Saccharomyces cerevisiae S288C: one gene and its partners. The protein of the gene in region 4 binds, or shares a complex with, the protein of the main gene of each other region. Each region holds a gene or a part of one and is shown on either strand. Other genes may lie near its edges. The genes, in order: NUP49, NUP159, NUP42 and SEH1.

Region 1 (4,537 bases), 130 kb from region 4:
TTATCAGCTTCATCAAATATCAAATGCTTAACTTTGGAGAGATCGAGAGCTTCGTTTTTCACAACATCGATTAGTCTTAATGGGGTAGAAATGATTATATCATATTTCTTATCACTAACTACCTTGTTTTTCAATTTAGCGCCTAAAGATTTAGATAAGAGTGCAACTTGCAGAGGCCTTTTTTTCTCCAAAAATATCTTGTAAGATAGCTTAAAACATTCAATAAAAATTTGGTTCGCTAATTCCTTTGTAGGCGAAATGATTAACCCTTTCAACCCTGCAGTTTGCTTGTCATCAATAATCTGCTGAACCAGCGGAATTAAGAATGCTAACGTCTTACCAGACCCTGTGGGACCACATGCCAAAACGTCTCTATTATTCAAAGCAACAGGAATACATTCACATTGAATTGGGGTAGGCTCAGTAAACCCGTTTTCAATCAAGTTATTCAGTAAACGCTTATCGAATGAAAACCTTGAAATTAAATCTTCAAACGAACCTATTGGAAGTGGTATATCTATACCCGACACGTTTCCCTTATATGATTTTCTCAACGCGGATGCCTCAACGGTATTGGTAATCACTGGTTTTATCAGACCATCATCATTGCCGCTCTTCTCCTCTTTGTTTGGAGAATCGTTTTCGGTTGTCTTCTCTCTATCATCCTCTACCTTGCTAATGATTCTCTTGTTTCGAAAGAAATCAAGTTCTTTCACGATCTGGCTTTCATTATTATCTTCCTTATGATTCTCATCATTTCCATTTATAACGCTGTAATCTGCTGCCTTAGCCTTTGGGCCTGACTCTTTCTTCACGGAAGCTCCTCTAGTTAATACTCTAAAAATATCCATGGTGGCTTGCCTGTTCGATAACTTCTACTATCGTATGTACCTTTTTGCAGGTAATATCTCTCAATTGAAGATGTCAATATTACTTTTTTTCCTTCCCATCTCATCGCAAAAAATTTTTCACGAAGAAAAGTTAGTTCGGCCTCTAAGACGCCATTATGGTGACTGAAAAACTGTGATTGATGTTATATTCTATTGCATTTAGTATAAATTACATTTGTACAAGACATTTGTACTTGTTATACGCACTATATAAACTTTCAGGGCGATTTACTCATATGCTCAATGATGCCAGTGTTTTCGTTTTTTGATGTAACACGGCGATTCTCTCAGCGATATCCATAAACAGTGTGAATTCCTCAATGACAGTAGAGACTATGGCAGCTAAGCCTGTCTTCAACTGCAGTAGGTTCTCTGCTTCGGATGAACCTAGATCTGCTGTGATAGCTGTAGAATTAGGGTTATTTGGGGCGCCAAATAAATCTGTATCAATGCCATTTACCGCAGTTTCTATATCAGAGAGAATACGGCAGTAATCCTCTAACTTCTTCTCGTAGAGATGAATTTTCTTTTGAAAGAATTTGTCTAAGTCATTAGAAGAAATTTTGCTTCCCGGAGTTAATAGTTGCTGTAAGAGCACCGAAAAAGTTTGCGTGTCTAGAAGGTCCTCATCGATTAGCGATTTAAATGAGGATATTTTCTTCAAATCTTGCTTTAAATATTGACTTGTTGCAGATTCTGACTTCAGTAGGTATGCAACATCACGAGGAATGGAATCTATCAATTCATCATGATCGATTGTATCGGCCTTCAAATGGTGCGAGATCTGCACTTGTTTTTGAATATATTGATCTAGTTGTTCAATTTCTTGACGTATTTGAGGTGGTAATTCGGAAATCCGTGTCATTGGGGTAATAGGGAGCTGAGATAGATTTTGCAATGCGCACTGCATTTGTGGTTGTTGCTGCAGTTGCTGCTGCTGATTACCAAATAGCCCGCCTGACGCACTCATGATGTTGTTACTATTATTGTTATTGTTGTTGTTATTTGATGAACCAAACAAAGACGTTGCTCCTGTCGGTTTGGAGCCAAATAACCCTCCACCAGTGGTCGTATTACCTGCATTATTGCCGAATAGAGATGTACCAGCTGGTTTTGCACCAAACATGCCCTGGTTCTGCGCAGGGGCCGAAGAGGTGCTTGTATTACCGAACAAAGAAGTGCCTCCTGCAGGTTTAGAGCCAAATAGTCCAGCGCTTGCATTATTCATGCCACTACTACTATTATTGATATTATTAGTGTTATTATTACCAAACAAACCACGACTCGTCTGTGCATTGTTGGAACCAAACAAACTGCCAGAATTACTGTTCGAATTAGCGCCAAATAACCCGCCCCCAGTGTTCGCCGTATTGTTAGGTTTGTTACCGAAAAGGCCCCCTCCGGTGGTGGCGCTTCCTCCAAATGCATTTGTCTGAGATTGTTGTTGCTGCTGACCAAATGATGCACCTAATCCTCCTGTAGATCCGGCTGGTTTAGCGCCAAATAGTCCACCTGTACTTGGGCCGGTGTTTTGTCCAGTTTGAGTCCCACCAAACGAAAACCCAGTATTCGCGTTTCCAGTGCTAGCTCCGCTGGCCTGACCAAAGAGCCCACCTGCAGGTGTCGAAGATGCTTTATTTAATCCAAACATTGTGCCCACTACCCGTGAAAACCCTCTCAATTACTGTTTTTATCGTCTCATCACCTGATCAGTAACTATTCTCACGATTAATGGTCTTTTTCAACTACATTTATTTGAGAAAGCTGTAATACATTCCGTGTTGAGTGATATATACAACCTCCTTTGCTCGTCTTTTCGCCACCGCAGAGCAAGTAACAACAGAGACAAACAAGAAGAGGTTAGAAAGCAATTTAAGGAGTAGTTTAACGAGTACTGAAAACGTCAAACTAAGTACTTACGACTTCCAATTACCGGTTGTAAAGTTTATCTACGCAAATATAACAGTTGCAGCTTGCTTTTTTTTTCAGCAGCTCTTCCGTTATTATAAAATCTGTTTGGCGTTCGCACAAGCGAACCGATTCTTTTATTATTTTCTCTCTGCCTTTTATTTCCGTTCCTGTTAATAGTTTATTTTCTAAAGGATACTGTCTTCTTCCGTACTTATAATCGGGTTCACAATAAGCAATTGACTAATCCTAGGACGATTCGTGTACTATAAGGAGAAAAAAAATCAACACTTGTAACAACAGCAGCAACAAATATATATCAGTACGGTATGGGTATTCCAAAATTTTTCAGGTACATCTCAGAAAGATGGCCCATGATTTTACAGCTTATTGAGGGAACACAGATTCCTGAGTTTGATAACTTATACCTGGATATGAATTCGATTTTACATAATTGTACGCATGGTAACGACGATGATGTAACCAAGCGATTAACTGAAGAAGAGGTTTTTGCAAAAATCTGTACGTATATCGATCACCTTTTTCAAACAATCAAGCCCAAGAAGATTTTCTACATGGCTATTGATGGTGTGGCCCCTCGTGCCAAGATGAATCAACAAAGAGCTCGTAGATTCAGAACCGCTATGGATGCAGAAAAAGCCTTGAAGAAGGCTATTGAGAATGGTGACGAGATTCCTAAGGGTGAGCCATTTGATTCGAATTCTATTACTCCAGGTACGGAGTTTATGGCCAAATTGACCAAAAACTTACAATATTTTATTCACGACAAGATTTCTAACGATTCCAAATGGAGGGAAGTGCAAATCATATTTTCTGGCCATGAAGTTCCAGGTGAAGGTGAACACAAGATCATGAACTTTATAAGGCATTTAAAATCCCAAAAGGATTTCAACCAGAATACGAGACATTGTATTTACGGTCTTGACGCAGATTTGATTATGCTGGGTTTGTCTACTCATGGGCCACATTTTGCGTTATTGAGAGAAGAAGTGACATTTGGTAGAAGAAATAGTGAAAAAAAATCGCTTGAACATCAAAATTTCTACTTATTACATCTTTCTTTATTAAGAGAATACATGGAGTTGGAATTCAAAGAAATTGCCGATGAAATGCAATTTGAATACAATTTTGAACGTATTTTGGATGATTTTATTCTTGTCATGTTCGTCATTGGTAATGATTTCTTGCCCAATTTGCCAGATTTGCACCTTAACAAAGGAGCATTTCCCGTTTTGTTACAAACGTTCAAAGAAGCTCTTTTACATACTGATGGCTACATTAATGAACATGGTAAAATAAATTTAAAGAGATTAGGTGTCTGGTTAAATTATCTGTCTCAATTTGAGTTATTAAATTTCGAAAAGGATGATATAGACGTTGAGTGGTTCAACAAGCAATTAGAGAATATTTCTTTGGAGGGTGAAAGGAAAAGACAGAGGGTTGGTAAAAAATTACTGGTAAAACAACAGAAGAAATTAATTGGAAGTATAAAACCATGGTTGATGGAGCAATTACAGGAAAAATTATCGCCTGATTTACCAGATGAAGAAATTCCAACTTTAGAGTTACCTAAGGACTTAGACATGAAAGATCATTTAGAATTTTTAAAAGAATTCGCTTTTGATTTGGGTCTTTTTATAACGCATTCCAAATCCAAAGGTAGTTATTCGCTAAAAATGGATCTTGATTCTATTAATCCTGATGAAACAGAAGAAGAA
Region 2 (7,287 bases), on a different chromosome or scaffold from region 4:
TGTTTCCGACGGTTCTTTTCAAATGGATACCGAAGCTGTATTAACCATTTTGAAAAACGACTCGCTAATTAAGTTGATGTTCGTTACTTCACCAGGTAATCCAACCGGAGCCAAAATTAAGACCAGTTTAATCGAAAAGGTCTTACAGAATTGGGACAATGGGTTAGTCGTTGTTGATGAAGCTTACGTAGATTTTTGTGGTGGCTCTACAGCTCCACTAGTCACCAAGTATCCTAACTTGGTTACTTTGCAAACTCTATCCAAGTCATTCGGTTTAGCCGGGATTAGGTTGGGTATGACATATGCAACAGCAGAGTTGGCCAGAATTTTAAATGCAATGAAGGCGCCTTATAATATTTCCTCCCTAGCCTCTGAATATGCACTAAAAGCTGTTCAAGACAGTAATCTAAAGAAGATGGAAGCCACTTCGAAAATAATCAATGAAGAGAAAATGCGCCTCTTAAAGGAATTAACTGCTTTGGATTACGTTGATGACCAATATGTTGGTGGATTAGATGCTAATTTTCTTTTAATACGGATCAACGGGGGTGACAATGTCTTGGCAAAGAAGTTATATTACCAATTGGCTACTCAATCTGGGGTTGTCGTCAGATTTAGAGGTAACGAATTAGGCTGTTCCGGATGTTTGAGAATTACCGTTGGAACCCATGAGGAGAACACACATTTGATAAAGTACTTCAAGGAGACGTTATATAAGCTGGCCAATGAATAAATAGATTAATTTAAACAGTATATGTACAGTTTTATATATATATATATATATATATACATATATAAAGAAACCTGTGCGTTTTTTGTATTTTCAAATACATTTAGTTTTGGCGCCACTTCTATAAAAGGTCTCATGATATTGTTACAATATCAATTTTTCTTCGTTTCTCATGCCCTGTTTCTATGATAGAGGATGAATTTATTATTAACGGCACTAACAACGTACATATAGCTAAATATCACTATTTTGCCATGTTCAAATTTTTGAAGAAATCACCAATTTGCTTTTTCGTATTCATGGCCAACCCAACTTCTACTACTTTAAATCCTTTCATGTCCTTTGTTATTGAAGAGGATGCATCGAACGACGAAGCCTTTTTACCTTTCTCCTCCAATTGTAACCTACTCACTTGCTCACGCAATAATTTGATTTCTTTTAGTAAACCGTCACGTGCAAGAGATTCTTTAGCTAGTTTTGCCACTAATGGATTATCGTCCAATCTCTTATTCTTTACAGTGAACAATTTTAAAATGTTCAGCAACTCTTCAGTATGATTAATTTTGGCGGACACATCGAATAGCTTTTGACGTAATGTCTTTTGCATTCTAAATTGATGCGTGCTGAGATCTTTAACGTATCCACTCGAAGCATCATCAAAATGCATTAAAAACAGATACTCCTCTTTTGCATTGGCTACATCTTCAGTTATTTGTGCAATATCTTTCCTGACATAATCTGTAACTTTTTCCTTCAGGTCTTGAATGTTAGCATTTGTTATTTGCATTTGTTCACACTTGATATTATTCTGAATATTTAATAGAATTTCAGCCTCTGGTATTCTCCAAGTATACAGATTATTGATAGACCGCACTGTACGCTTCACCAAAGGGATGCTCGATTGATCAGTAAAAAAAGTATCCATATTCCGGATGTTTTCCATCAGAACAGTAAACTCAGCTTCGACCGTCTGAAATGTACTCTCAATCAACCTTAACGTAGAATTTTGTGAAACGAAAGGAATATTTGATACTTTTGCACTTGTGTAATATTCTTTCAATTGCTTTGGTTTGCATTGCTCTGCTAAATAATTTTCGTCACCTTCAAATGTTTGAACAGAAAAATTACATGTTTCAACAGGCTCAGTTTGCAGACCATTGTCGACTGCTTCCTTCTTAACAGTTTGTGTACTGTTGTGTTTCACGGGTATGGCATCCGTTTGAACTTCATTTTCCTTGGAACTTTCTGAAAGGTCTGTCTGTATGCCAGATTCAGCATAATTGTCTTCTAATGAAGTTTGTACATCAAAATCAGCGGAAGCGCTCACTTCACGTGCTTTAAAAGCTTCTCCACCATGAGGTAGCTCATCAGTATTAATATCTTCCAGTTTATCGTAGGACTCAGATATACTTTCATCCCGGTCACTGTTGAGTGACATGTTATCATCTGATTCTTTAACTTCACTGCTTTGTCTACTGTCTTTTTCGCTCGCGTCCTCTTCTGAAGATTGGTGGTCTTCGAATTGCTTTATTGCCATATTTGAATCAAAATTCTCTTTTTCATTGTCTTTTTTCAATGCTATTCCATCTCCTTGGACACCATGATTTGGTTGACCGCTCCTTTCATTATTCTTCGAAGTTTCATTCATTTCTTTAGACTTGTTATCGTGATCAACCACAGCATGTTGACTATATTTTGGGTCTGTTTCGCTTTTTTCATGATTGTTCACGTCCTGTGACTTTGGAATTTCTTCGTTTGCTGTGGTATCAAAAGCACTTTCAGAAGTCCTTACAGATATTTCACTTCCTGATACATAACCATCTTTTGGGTCATCGTTATGATCCTTTTTAGAACTTTCTCCAGTTCTTTCTTCTTTCGCTGGTAGAAACGGATTCTCCACACTCTTCAAGGTTATGGGGCCCTTTTCACTAGTTTCTTTAGTATCAGCTTCTTCCATTGGTGAAACCGTAGATGTATTACTTTTATTCATTGTGGAGTTACCAAACGAAAAAGCAGGTGTTGTAGAGCTTGGTTTGGTAATATTTGTTGCAAATGCTGAAAACGGCGATTCGGATTTTGCTTTGACATGATTTCCAAATACAGGATTTTTTAAACCAGCCATGTCAATATTGGCACTTTTTTTTATAGTTTCAGTTAGCTTGCCTATGGGGGATTTTTGCGCTTCCTCCTCGACAACTTCACCATCTTCATCCGAGGGAGTTTCCGGTAATCTAGTAGAAGATGTTTGCTCAACCGTAGAATCTGTCAAATCATTACCGCTTACGTTGGGACCATTGCTTTCGTGTTCTTCATTATCGTCATTGATTTCACTGGTAGAGCCCTTACTTAAAGATCCATTTTCAGTATCATCTTTTGTGAAGGAACTGAATGGTGATTTGTTTCCTAACTGTGAAGAGAAAGGTGAAGCCTGAGTACCGAATTTAAAAGTTGTATCGGAACCAACAGATTCCAGAGCCTTTGAAAATCCAGATCCAAAGGAAGAACTCCCAAAATCAAAGGCATTGGTCTTTGGTTTCGTAGAGGTGTTAGGTTTCGTACCAAAAGGTGTCGAAGAAGAGTCTACATCACTCTTAGACTCATCTTCACTTTGATCGCCAGAAGATGGGAAAGGTGACGTTGAATCTACCTCCTTTGGGCTGTCAACTGTAGGTTTTGAAATAGTAAAGTTTGATCCGAAAAGTTCATTGTTGGCGGGTGCAAAAGATGATGAACCAAATGCAGCCTTTCCAAATATGGATCCAGAGTTAGTTTCGTTACTTGATGCAGTTCCGAATGCAGATGTACCAAAAGAGGGCTTACCAAAGGCAGATCCGGAAGCAGGCGGCTCAGCAGATGAATTTCCAGAGCCAAAGGAAGGAGTACCAAAAGAGGGCTTACCAAATGCAGATCCGGAGGCAGGCGGCTCAACAGATGAATTTCCAGAGCCAAAGGAAGGAGTACCAAAAGAGGGCTTACCAAAGGCAGATCCGGAGGCAGGCGATTCAACAGATGACTTTCCAGAGCCAAAGGAGGGAGCACCAAAAGATGGCTTGCCAAAGGCATATTCTGATGTTGACGGTTCTTTGGCAATAGCTCCGAACGCGGGTTTGCCGAATACTGGCTTAGCAGAAGCAGGATCTGTTGCGTCTTGTTCACTGGACGCTACACCAGTACTGGTAGATGAGACTGATGGCAAGTCAATTTTAAATGCGGATGATCCAAATGAGGGAGCACCAAAGGTTGAAGAACTTTGAGACTGCAGGCTATTGGCAGCGGCTGGTTGTGTTTTAAGAAAAGTGAAGCCTGATGTATTTGCTGATGTGAAAGGATTCTCTGATAAAGCCTTACTTGATTCATTATTTTTCTTTTTTTCTTCCTGCTCCTGTCCAGCAATAGGAATTTTTTCTGATGTAGGAGAGAGAGATTTCTCATGTTCTAAAGATTCCAGATTTATGCTATAATGGCCGCTTTTGATTGCTGCCACATGAAACAACCCGACTATCTGTAAGCTACCTTCGTTATTCAATATGTAAACGAGCGGCAATCGCTCTATCGTATCAACACCGGAACAAGGTTCTAGAATAGTGCCTGAAGTAACGACGTCAACTGCCACACCTATTGGATTTGTGTCCTTATCTGTTTCCTCACTGATGGGCAATACTGCTCGTTCAGAATCCTGGGAAGGTTCAATAACTTGTTTCGAGTCCCATATACTTACTTCACTTGAACATGATGATGCTAGCACATTTACGTTTGCATCAGGTTCAATTAAACCAGACAAGGTAACTTTGTACATATATGGGAACCTTACTATTTGCCCGAATGGAGGTGTAATATCAAAAGTTTCTTGAAATGAGGCGCTGCCGTCTATGTGCTTTATAATGTACATTTTTTGATCGTATGAAACTTCGTCATCGGTCTCTGATATAACATTACCGAAAACCGCCAAAAAATCCTGTGGAGAGAGAATGGTAACACTCAAAGGGGAATATTCTTCTACTGGAAGCTCTTCTAATTCTGACGGTAGAGAGAACTCAAATTGTTTTTCCATTTCGCCATTTCGCCATGCAAAACTTTGAAAACTTCTATCTTTTAGTAGAACTGCTAACTGCGAATTTGTGACATCAAAAGAGGTAACGTTTTGTGCCAGTTGCTTAGTCGATTTTGTTCTTAAATCCAGTGCTGATAAATCATTGACTGAATTTAAAATTACTAAAGTGTTATTAACGTTCTTCAATTGGAAAACTGGCTTCTCAAAAGAAGTGACCGTTCGAAATTCACTCAATTCCTCCAAGTCTAACGAATATAATGCATTTCTGGTTGAAACCAAAACCTGATCACCATGAAAGCACACAAATATTACATCTGGGATTTCTTTCTCCCACTTGAACGTTAACGGAGTAGAGTCGGAGGTGATATGATCTCTCAGTAATTGTAATTCGCCGACCACCGCCTTACTACCAGAGGCAGCAACGAATAAAGACTTACTGTTTGAAATATCGAGATTTTGTAGAGATGCAAATGGCAGTTTTTCATTGAAGGAAGGTAGAATTTGTTTTTGACCTAAAAACTTAAAACCGAAGTCTTCGGAAGTCTCAGTGGGTACTTCATCCTTCAAAGAAGACATGTTATAATGGTTCTGTAATCAATATATATATATTTATGTGCGTTTCTCTGCTAAAATTGCAATAATGAAATTAAACCTTCACGCAAAATCGTTATTGAAGTTGGAGAGGAGACAAATTAACCTGAGAAATATGAATTGGTGTGAAGCAGCGTATGTGTGACAGAACAAACAAGCCTAAACGCCGATGTCAAACACAATTTTTTCTCCAGTTTATGCGTGCAACTATCCTTCGGTCCTTTGTCTTTTTTTCTCTTTTGATCAAACAATTGAAAAAACACTGGTCGTAGGTCACGATAAAAGTTGCGATGTCCCCTCCCACCTAGTTTCCTAAATACTATTATATAATATTAACTAAACAAACGTCAGAAAAAAAAAAAACTCTATCAAAAGTACAAATCCTTATTTAGTAAAATTTATAAGAAAATAAAATCTCTCAGGGCGAGAACGATAGAGACCAGCCAAATTTGTGGACTGGTTCAGTCAGTTGTAGCGCATTGAAAGACATACCCACACCCAAAGAAATATCTTTATTCAAATTTCGCTTGTACGACAATGTAGTCAGGCCTGAATCTGCAATTTTTGCCTTAACTTGCGAAATAGAATCTGGTACGTATCTGGTAACAAATTCAATGTTCATATTAGAACTTGTCTTCGATTGTAAAGTGGCTTTAGTTCCCACTTGCAAATAGCGGTTAACGTTTTGAAAAAATGAAGCAGTTGCGCATTGCCTGTTGTTAGTAGACAAAATAAACGAATATTCTCTGGCAAGATACCCGATTGACATAGCATAGCGTGCACATAAACCCGCAGCTGTGTCATATGCGATGTCAGTGCCGCCAACAAACCCGCGGTGGCCCAAAGTAACACTTCCGACAAAGTCCTTAGGTTGCAAGATGTCTATAGAAGTTCTTGCTGCAAACGATTTTTGGGCGTAGCTCAAATTAAATTTGGCGTTCTTGATGGATTGGGGAGTCAAAAATGCGTTGACATCACCTTTCCAACCAGGTGCTATCTTGGAAAATTCGATTCTTGTATTTAACCTGTTCTGGTTCGACCAACTCTGAGATAGCGACACTCCCTCCTTCCTGTCATAAAACCGTCCTTCTACGCTAGTTTGGATGGGGCCTTCTGTCACGCCCTGCTTCGCCTTCAGAGTAAAATTCACACCATTTTCCGTGGTTGTTGAAATATTCAAAGAGAGGGGGTTGGTGTGAAAAAAGTCCCTATTGAATAGGCCATTGACATCTCTAGATATATCGTTGAAAAATCGTAGTGCCATCGTAGGTAATTTCTAACACTTTCCTCTTCATGCAATTCCTTCACTCGAGAATAAAACAGAAGAGCTCCATCTTCACTATTCTTTCTTTTCTTTTTGTTCCATTTCTGCAATTGGAAGCGAGAAAAAAGGAAAGGAATTGCTAAAGGCGCTTTCAATCATGTAAGACAAATTAGTATTTGGTTAAAAAATGCAGAAGCTCAGTCGCAGCATAGAAAAAGAACTAAACTTTTAAATGCTGAAAACTACGAACAGATTTTGCAGTGTGTCATTTCTGCGGAATCCGTTATTCGTCTCATTTGCTAGGCAGGGCGCACACTATTGGAATAGGAGATATCTTCCAGATAGAAAAGGGTTTTTGCGTCGTACGGCGCGGCCTTGGCAACTCCCCTTCTGGAACAGGCAACTTCCTAATTAGGTTGCCGCAGCGAATAACTTTAATCAGTTCTTATCCCCTTTATGGTATACTGGGTGATATAAAAGAACGAGTAAGACAAGATCAGCAACAAAGTTGAAGATAATCTATTATCTAAAATAACACATACGGCTGCGCACTTGTAGCCATAATCTCGCATGAACATATACACATCACCCACGCGAACACCGAACATCGCACCAAAGAGTGGCCAAAGACCATCTCTTCCTATGCTGGCC
Region 3 (4,209 bases), on a different chromosome or scaffold from region 4:
ACCGGATTTTAGATCCAGTGAAGGGATTTTCTCTACTGTGAACGGCGGCTCTGGGAAAGATTTGTTTGACTACAATCGTGTGTATGGCGACGAATCAATGAGTTTGAAATTTAATCAGTTAATGGTGTCATTGTTCAGATTATCCAAGAATTGCCAACCTACAAAATTTCATGAAATGCTCAATGAGTTTGCTAGGGATGGCAGGCTATTGAGACTGTACACGCAGAATATTGACGGTTTAGATACACAATTACCTCATTTATCAACTAATGTGCCTCTGGCGAAGCCAATACCCAGTACAGTACAATTACACGGAAGCATAAAACACATGGAATGCAATAAATGTCTGAATATCAAACCTTTTGACCCTGAACTGTTCAAATGCGACGACAAATTTGATTCTCGGACTGAAATCATACCGTCATGTCCACAATGTGAAGAATATGAAACAGTTAGAAAAATGGCAGGCTTAAGATCTACTGGTGTGGGCAAGTTGCGTCCAAGAGTAATTTTATACAATGAGGTCCACCCTGAAGGTGATTTTATCGGTGAAATTGCCAATAATGACTTAAAGAAAAGAATTGATTGTTTGATTATTGTTGGAACGAGTTTGAAGATTCCCGGAGTGAAAAATATTTGCAGGCAGTTTGCGGCCAAAGTCCATGCAAACAGGGGTATTGTGTTATATTTAAACACCAGTATGCCGCCTAAGAATGTGCTAGACTCTTTGAAATTTGTAGACCTAGTTGTACTGGGAGATTGTCAGCATGTTACCTCATTATTATAGAAAGTATTTGTCCTACCAAAAAAGGTTGGAGATAAAATTAATGCATTTTTCATTAGATATATATATATATTCATATATATTGTTTAAGTTACCATTTTGTATGTTTTTCTTTGACCTTACTATGCAACCAATGCAGGTGGTGGAGGTATATCAGGGACAAGGCCTAGTTCAAACTTGTTTGCTCTGAATATTTTCAGTGTTTCCTCTGCGAGATCGGCCAATTCTAGAATACCGTCCTTTTCAGAAGATAACCCTTGAACAAATCTAATTTTTCCGGTGGCCGTATTAGCGTTGACATTAGTAGCATTCATCTGTTGTTGTCCAAATCCAAAAGAGGTTGCGTTACCATTGCTCTTCAAACTTATGTTCGGATCTGTGTTTGGCATTGTTTGCCCAAATGAAGGGTTCGATTGCGAGACTTTGTTGGCATCGTTTTGTGGTGTAATTCCGAATGAAAACCCTTTATTACCAAAAGAAGATTGAAAGTTGCCATTGGTATTTTTATTGAGGTTAGAAGCAGAACCAAAGGTGCCCCCAGAACCTCCGCTAAAAGGAGATTGATTATTCGTCGTTCCGAATGCGCTACTGCCCACGTTATTGTTGTTGTTAGCTTTGGAGGTTGTAGTACCAAACGGCGAAGAACCAGCGCCTGCTCCGCTCTGTAGATTACTAAAAGGTGATTTGTTATTACTATTAGTTCCAAATGTGCCAAATGGGGATACTCCTGTCCCACTGCTTGTACTTGTATTTTGAATAGTACCAAATGGCGACTGGGTATTAGTAGCTGCGCCGAAAGTCGGTTTGCCAAACGCTGACGATGTAGATGATGCATTTTGTGATGCGTTTTGTTGCAGTGAACCAAAAGGAGAAGTTGTGGTCAAGGGCGTGTTTGACGCAGCACCAAATGCGGAGTTATTACTATTACTAACCGAACTAGAAGGGATAGCAGTTTTGTTCGCTCCAAAAGCTGGTTGACCAAATGCAGAGCCCATTGAGCCAGGACTTTTACCAAAAGGATTACTTGTCGCCGCCATAGCACCAAAACCTGTTGATCCAAATGACGGTGCTCCAAATGCTGACGTAGTAGAAGGCGGATTAACATTGATGGGGGCGCTAGAACCAAATGCTGGTGCTCCAAATGCTGACGGTTTAGCCGCATTACTGGTGTTCCCAAAAGCGCTAATTGACGTATTGCCAGTATTGCCTGTATTGGTACCAAACTGGGGCATTCCAAATGCTGAAGTGGTGGTTCCTCCTGTCATTGTGTTTGCTGTTCCAAAACTAGGTCTTCCAAATGCACTTCCTCCCATGTTATTGGTACTAGCAGCATTATTTGTGAAAGGGTTGATACCACTTGTATTAGAAAGATTAGGCTTAGCACCCGACGTGAATGGGTTACCGAAAGCTGACATTACAGTTGAGTCGTTGCTCGGGTCGAAATTTAATGATAGCTTGATGAGCTTTTGCGTTAAAGTACAACAGTTCAGTGTTATAGTACTTTAAACATTGTGCGCTCATCTATTGATTCACTATTTTTTTTCAAATACCTTGCACCCTCAGTCGGCGTGTTTCTTGATATGCAGAATTAATATATTTCTAGATGTCAGTATATTAAGGTTAGCCCTTTGAAACGTATTATGATGTCGTTACCTTCAGCGTCGTGGTTTAGGTTTCATGTCTTGTCCTCTCGCGAATACTTTTATTTCGAAGCTAATTTACTATATAAAGAAGGTTGAAATCGCATGATAAGCTAAACAGCGTAAATAGAATTGCCGGAGCAAAATTCGTATAAGACATAATTTCCCTCCAGGCCGTAGCCAGATTAATGCTCAGTACACTGTAAAGAATTTTTTGTTTATTTTTAAGATAAGACAAGATGTCATTGATATTATTGCTAGATCACTAACAAATGGTATTTATTGATTTTTCTTTCGCAGAGCGGCACTTTAACTAGGATTTAATCATAAAAAAAAAAGTGATTGACACTGTTATTCAGTTCTGGACTATCGTATAGACTATTTTCATTGTTAATAGGCTCAGCTGTTCATAAAATATGTGAAAATTTTTCAACGATTACCAAGCCCACGATTGTCTCGTTGGCAATATTCAGAATGAAGTTTTCGTAATATGGCTATGTCCGTGATCAATCGCCTAAGACACCCTGACTTTTCAAGTAAATTCTCAAAAGCTTTCTTCCATCCGTTTAAATAAGAATTACAATGTTAGAATTACTTTTCCTTTGAGAGGAGGAAGAGCGAAAGTAAGAATGGAGGTACCGGTCGTAAATAAGCATTGACGAATAAATATACCAGTAGGATCTTCGTATAGTTATCATTTTAAGAGAATAGGAGAAGAAAAAAAATTTTTGTTTAATATTTATATACTAGGTATTTACACGTGAAAGTATTGAATCAAGATGGGGTCTAAAATACAGGCGTCTTAATAGAGGAATTGTTATTTAAAATACAACCCACATCTCTTGGTCCTCCTTTTTTATCTTTTCTAATATATGTTGCTGTTTCTACTGGAGTAATTATTTTTATCATTACTACGGGAGAATGAGCGTCTATTGTTGTTGCTGCGTCTAAACGGTTCGTCATCGTAATCTCTATTTTGGCTCCTATTATTATAGTTTTTGTTGCCTCTGAAAGAAATTTCTGAATCATCATCATAATCGTAGGACTTGTTATTTCCATCTCTACTACTATAGTCTCTAATTTCAAACATTGCCTTACCAATTGGACTACGGCTCAAACCTAATTTATCTAAAAACCTTCTGGATACTGGAATCTTTAATTGAGGATCATTTAACAGTACACCATAAGTGGAAGCAATTTCAGGAAGTATGCGCCTTTCAGAAAACCTGTATTCCTTGATACAGGATCTGTAGGATGAGATTAAACTTATTACAATATCTGATATGTCTTCCGGTTCTTCGGTCACTGCCTCTAGGACCTCAGATTTTATTTCTTCACTGGGCTCATATTTTTCTTGTTTGGCAATGACTATATTTTTTGCATCTTCCAACTCTCTAACAAATGGCAATTCATCTTTACAAATGAATAGCACAGAAGATCCTTCTTTCCCACTTCTGGCTGTTCTACCAATTCTATGAATATAATTAGCCAACTCAGATGGAACACCAATTTGCAAAACTTCGTGGACGTTTGGGAAATCCATACCACGGGCTCCCACATCCGTACAAACCAAAATACCGGATTCATCTTTTTTGAATCTTTTAACTAAACTTGTTCTTTTATTTTGAGTAATTTTACCATGAAATTCCAAAATTGGTAAATCTTTCTTAAATTCATTCTTTAAAATACTGCACAAAAAGGATGTGAATTTAACAGTTGGTGCAAAAATAATGGCTTTGTAATTAGAATCTCTTTCCTTTATTTGTTTCTTTATATGCTCCACAG
Region 4 (3,881 bases):
CCCTTGAGATGTCGCAGAATCATTACCGCTATCCATTCTAATAATTTTAACATTTGAATGTCTATCGGCCGTGAAATCTTTGTCTGCCAGTGCAGCTGTACTCAAGAATTCATCTAAAGCTGATTCTTGAGTTACAGATCTTAATTTAACCCAGTTGGCCTCATGCTTATCGGTAGTGAACCTCATTTCACCATCAGGTAAATACTCGATGGCATTTTCTTTTTGACGTGCATATTTAATAGCTCTGCCTAATTCAAGCTTATTTTTATTTTTACGGTGGGTAGGTTTTGGCCCTTTTGGCGCCTTCCATTTCTTGGGAGCTTCTTTTGGTGGCATAGTTGGTGGGGGTCCTCAATATCAGATTTAGTTTTGTGTTTAAAAGAAGTTGGCTTATAAGCTCATCACCTCTTTATTAAGTAGTAGAATGCATTTTCATTGACAAATTTTTTAATCTCGGCATTGAAAAATTTCCAGGCGAAAAGGCGAGGGAAGGGAAGCTTGATATAATTCGAAAGAATACCCAATATCAAGAATAATAATATCATTTGATGTAATATCATTATATTTGTAAGAGCTTTTTAAAAGCATCATCTTTCTTGATTCATCTGTTGCCTCGTATTATACAGAATAATGCACACGTATAAAGTACCAATATATAATGTTATGTATACATATATTCTTATTTATTGTTGGGCAGTAATTACTGACATACACTTAAATTCATTTGAATAAGTGGCTTTCCATAAACGTACCTTCCCATCATCCCCAGCACTGCTTAAGATTGTACCCGTTAAATTCCAAGACACGGACCAAACTTCGCCATTATGGTCATCATGCTCGCTTAGAAGTTCAACTTGCAAGTTTGATTGTAGCTCAGCTTTCTCTTCGGTATTTGAGTCTGATCTGCCCTGTGCATCCATGTCAACATCAGCACTATTATCAAACATATTTGAGTTAGTTAAAGACTCCTCTGAGGCCAGGGGACTTAGTTTTTCTGTGATTTTGAAAATTCTAATTCTACCATCTTTGCAACCTGTTGCAATGAGTTGATACCATCTACCAATGGAAGGAGCCCAGCTGATACTTCTTATTAAACTTTTATGACCGGGAAGTTTTGCTGCAACGTGAAGTTTACCGTCTTTACCCCTTTGGTATATAATCGCTTGTTCCAATGCAGAGACTGCGAGCTTTTCAGGAGAAAATCTCGAAGGACACCAAGAGAGACAAAAATCAGACTGTAAATGATTTGCTGGTGGTATAGATAGCACTTTCATCTCAGAAGTCAGTGTCCATGACCTTAGGTCAGAAGGTTCTAAGGCATCATAAAGTCTGAGGATTCCATCGTTACCCAAACAAGCTAATTTTAAGCCCAAATGCGCTGGCGCAAATTTTACACTATAAAGTGATCCTTTGGAATCATTCAGGGTACACAGCTTGTTCCAACGACGGCCAGAGCATTCTTCTTGGTCGGGATCTTCTTCCCATAATTTTACCGTCTTATCGTAAGAGGCTGAAGCAATGATGCGCCCATATTCTGGACTGGCCCAATCAATGGCCACGATACTACTGTCGTGAGCTCTCCATGAGTCACTGAGTTCCCAATTACTCGTGTCCTTGTCTAATTTAAAAACTTTAATATGTTGATCAGAAGAGCATGTTGCCACATGTCTTCCGTAAAAGTCATAAACGACATCATGAACTAAATCATCATGCCCACTATCAAATGGTTGCATATTCAGAAATATTATTGGGTCGTTCTTCTTCTTCCTTAGTATCTCTTCAGAAGGGAAACCTTGTTTATAATTTGGTTTACTTGTCTCTATTCAGTTCATGATTTTTTCCATCGTTTTGCCGAAGACTTAACTAACAATAAATAAGAGAAACAGATATATTAAAACTTGGTTGATAATGCAGCACGCACATTCAATCGCGAATAATATACAAAAGATTATTTCTAAAGTTACATATAATGCACACCGGGTGCTGGAAGTATAATACATGCAAAATAAAATGGGCACTATCTCGTTGAAAAGCATCAAGATGTTATTATAAATGATACGCACCACCAGGTGAAGGTTTGAGAAAAGAAAAAAAAGCACTAACTTTTCTTTCAAAAGGCCACATTATTACTCCTTCAAACTGTCGAAAAAGGCTTGTCGATCTTCCAGTAAAGATTGTGTCCATTTTTTAACTTCATCAGTTTTTATATCATTGATGGCTCCCAAAAATTGTTTCAAATCCTTCTTGCCATTATACTTTTGTTCGTACTCAAAACATTGAACCAACATTTCATACTTATCAATATCTTTGACATATCTTCCTTCCAAACAGGTCTGCTTTTCGTATGCTAACCAGTCATCAAGAATTTCCCTAGATGCGCTTTCACTGCAGGGCCTTATTATGCTTTCACAGAGATACTTGACAGTTTCAAATTCTCTGCGATGTTTCTCTTCCTTTGTCATTGGGTCATTAGGTGTAATATCACCAACTAATGACTCCGCAAAATCGTGAACAAGTGCGATTCTGATACATTTGTTACGATCAACATTCTTGTCCGTAATCAGCATGGTAGTTAAACCCATTCTGTACATATGGTCAGATATACTTTCGCATGGGTCAATACCATGGTCAACCCAACCAGTTCTTCTTTGCGTTTTCAAAAGTTGTATAATATTCAAAAACGCTAACTGATAATTTGGGTGAGGTTTCGAAAGAATTGCCAAAATCTCCCTAGGTATATTATCTTCTGGCTTCCAGATGTTAACTGCAGTCATTTTGTTTTTCCTGGTCTTTACCTCGAATAGGTTTTCTTGTTTTGTTATTTGTTTTCTTTTTGGACCCTATGTTTATATATGGATTTTGAAAATCTTTTAAAAAAGCGATAAAAGCGTTGGGATCTGCCACTGGTAACTTCAAAATAGACAAGACGAAAAAACGGTGAAAATGGGTGATAGAAATAATACAGAAGTAGATGTTGAATTAGATTAAACTGAAGATATATAATTTATTGGAAAATACATAGAGTTTTTGTTGATGCGCTTAAGCGATCAATTCAACAACACCACCAGCAGCTCTGATTTTTTCTTCAGCCAACTTGGAGACGAATCTAGCTTTGACGATAACTGGAACATTTGGAATTCTACCCTTACCCAAGATCTTACCGTAACCGGCTGCCAAAGTGTCAATAACTGGAGCAGTTTCCTTAGAAGCAGATTTCAAGTATTGGTCTCTCTTGTCTTCTGGGATCAATGTCCACAATTTGTCCAAGTTCAAGACTGGCTTCCAGAAATGAGCTTGTTGCTTGTGGAAGTATCTCATACCAACCTTACCGAAATAACCTGGATGGTATTTATCCATGTTAATTCTGTGGTGATGTTGACCACCGGCCATACCTCTACCACCGGGGTGCTTTCTGTGCTTACCGATACGACCTTTACCGGCTGTACAAAAAAAATATTGTAATGAAATACAATTTTTAAATCGTTAGTAAAACAGGTTTTCAACTGGACATTTTATCGAAACAAAAGAAACGTGGTAACTCTTTTTCATAATTGCGCTCTCTACAACCATTTGATACAGCGATAATTAGTGCTTTCCATAATCTAAATGAAAGTTACCTTTTATAGCCGTAAAATGAGTAGACAGTATGACTGTTCTGAATATCATGGTATAATAAAGGAGAAGTATGACAAAGGCTATGCACACTTTCTTTTTGCTCAGTTTGCGATGGAAGAGTACATTTACTCGAGCTATTACCTCAAATAAGCCGTCTCAACAGTGAGATGGTAATACAAAGTTCGCAATCAAAACACAAAGAAATATGTTGAGTACACTTAGCTGATTGACATTCTCCTGTACCATGATATACACACGACATATTG

The links.
Region 1: SEH1 (region 4) and NUP49 share a complex: the UniProt entries of both Saccharomyces cerevisiae proteins name them as parts of the nuclear pore complex.
Region 2: SEH1 (region 4) and NUP159 share a complex: the UniProt entries of both Saccharomyces cerevisiae proteins name them as parts of the nuclear pore complex.
Region 3: SEH1 (region 4) and NUP42 share a complex: the UniProt entries of both Saccharomyces cerevisiae proteins name them as parts of the nuclear pore complex.

Annotation. Positions count from the first base shown.
Region 1 is NC_001139.9:178,704-183,240, reverse strand, and holds NUP49 (FG-nucleoporin NUP49), read right to left. Parts: upstream 2,542-4,537; coding exon 1,123-2,541; downstream 1-1,122. Other genes in the region: RNA-dependent ATPase ROK1, read right to left, coding at 1-851; chromatin-binding exonuclease XRN1, read left to right, coding at 3,128-4,537. UniProt on the Saccharomyces cerevisiae protein: Functions as a component of the nuclear pore complex (NPC).
Region 2 is NC_001141.2:143,353-150,639, forward strand, and holds NUP159 (FG-nucleoporin NUP159), read right to left. Parts: upstream 5,358-7,287; coding exon 975-5,357; downstream 1-974. Other genes in the region: HIS5 (histidinol-phosphate transaminase), read left to right, coding at 1-733; putative porin POR2, read right to left, coding at 5,791-6,636; mitogen-activated protein kinase tyrosine protein phosphatase SDP1, read left to right, coding at 7,207-7,287. UniProt on the Saccharomyces cerevisiae protein: Functions as a component of the nuclear pore complex (NPC).
Region 3 is NC_001136.10:842,663-846,871, forward strand, and holds NUP42 (FG-nucleoporin NUP42), read right to left. Parts: upstream 2,200-4,209; coding exon 907-2,199; downstream 1-906. Other genes in the region: NAD-dependent histone deacetylase HST4, read left to right, coding at 1-787; MSS116 (ATP-dependent RNA helicase), read right to left, coding at 3,290-4,209. UniProt on the Saccharomyces cerevisiae protein: Functions as a component of the nuclear pore complex (NPC).
Region 4 is NC_001139.9:311,086-314,966, reverse strand, and holds SEH1 (Seh1p), read right to left. Parts: upstream 1,734-3,881; coding exon 684-1,733; downstream 1-683. Other genes in the region: ribosome biogenesis GTPase LSG1, read right to left, coding at 1-336; YGK1 (5'-deoxynucleotidase), read right to left, coding at 2,127-2,774; 60S ribosomal protein uL15 RPL28, read right to left, coding at 3,040-3,440. UniProt on the Saccharomyces cerevisiae protein: Functions as a component of the nuclear pore complex (NPC).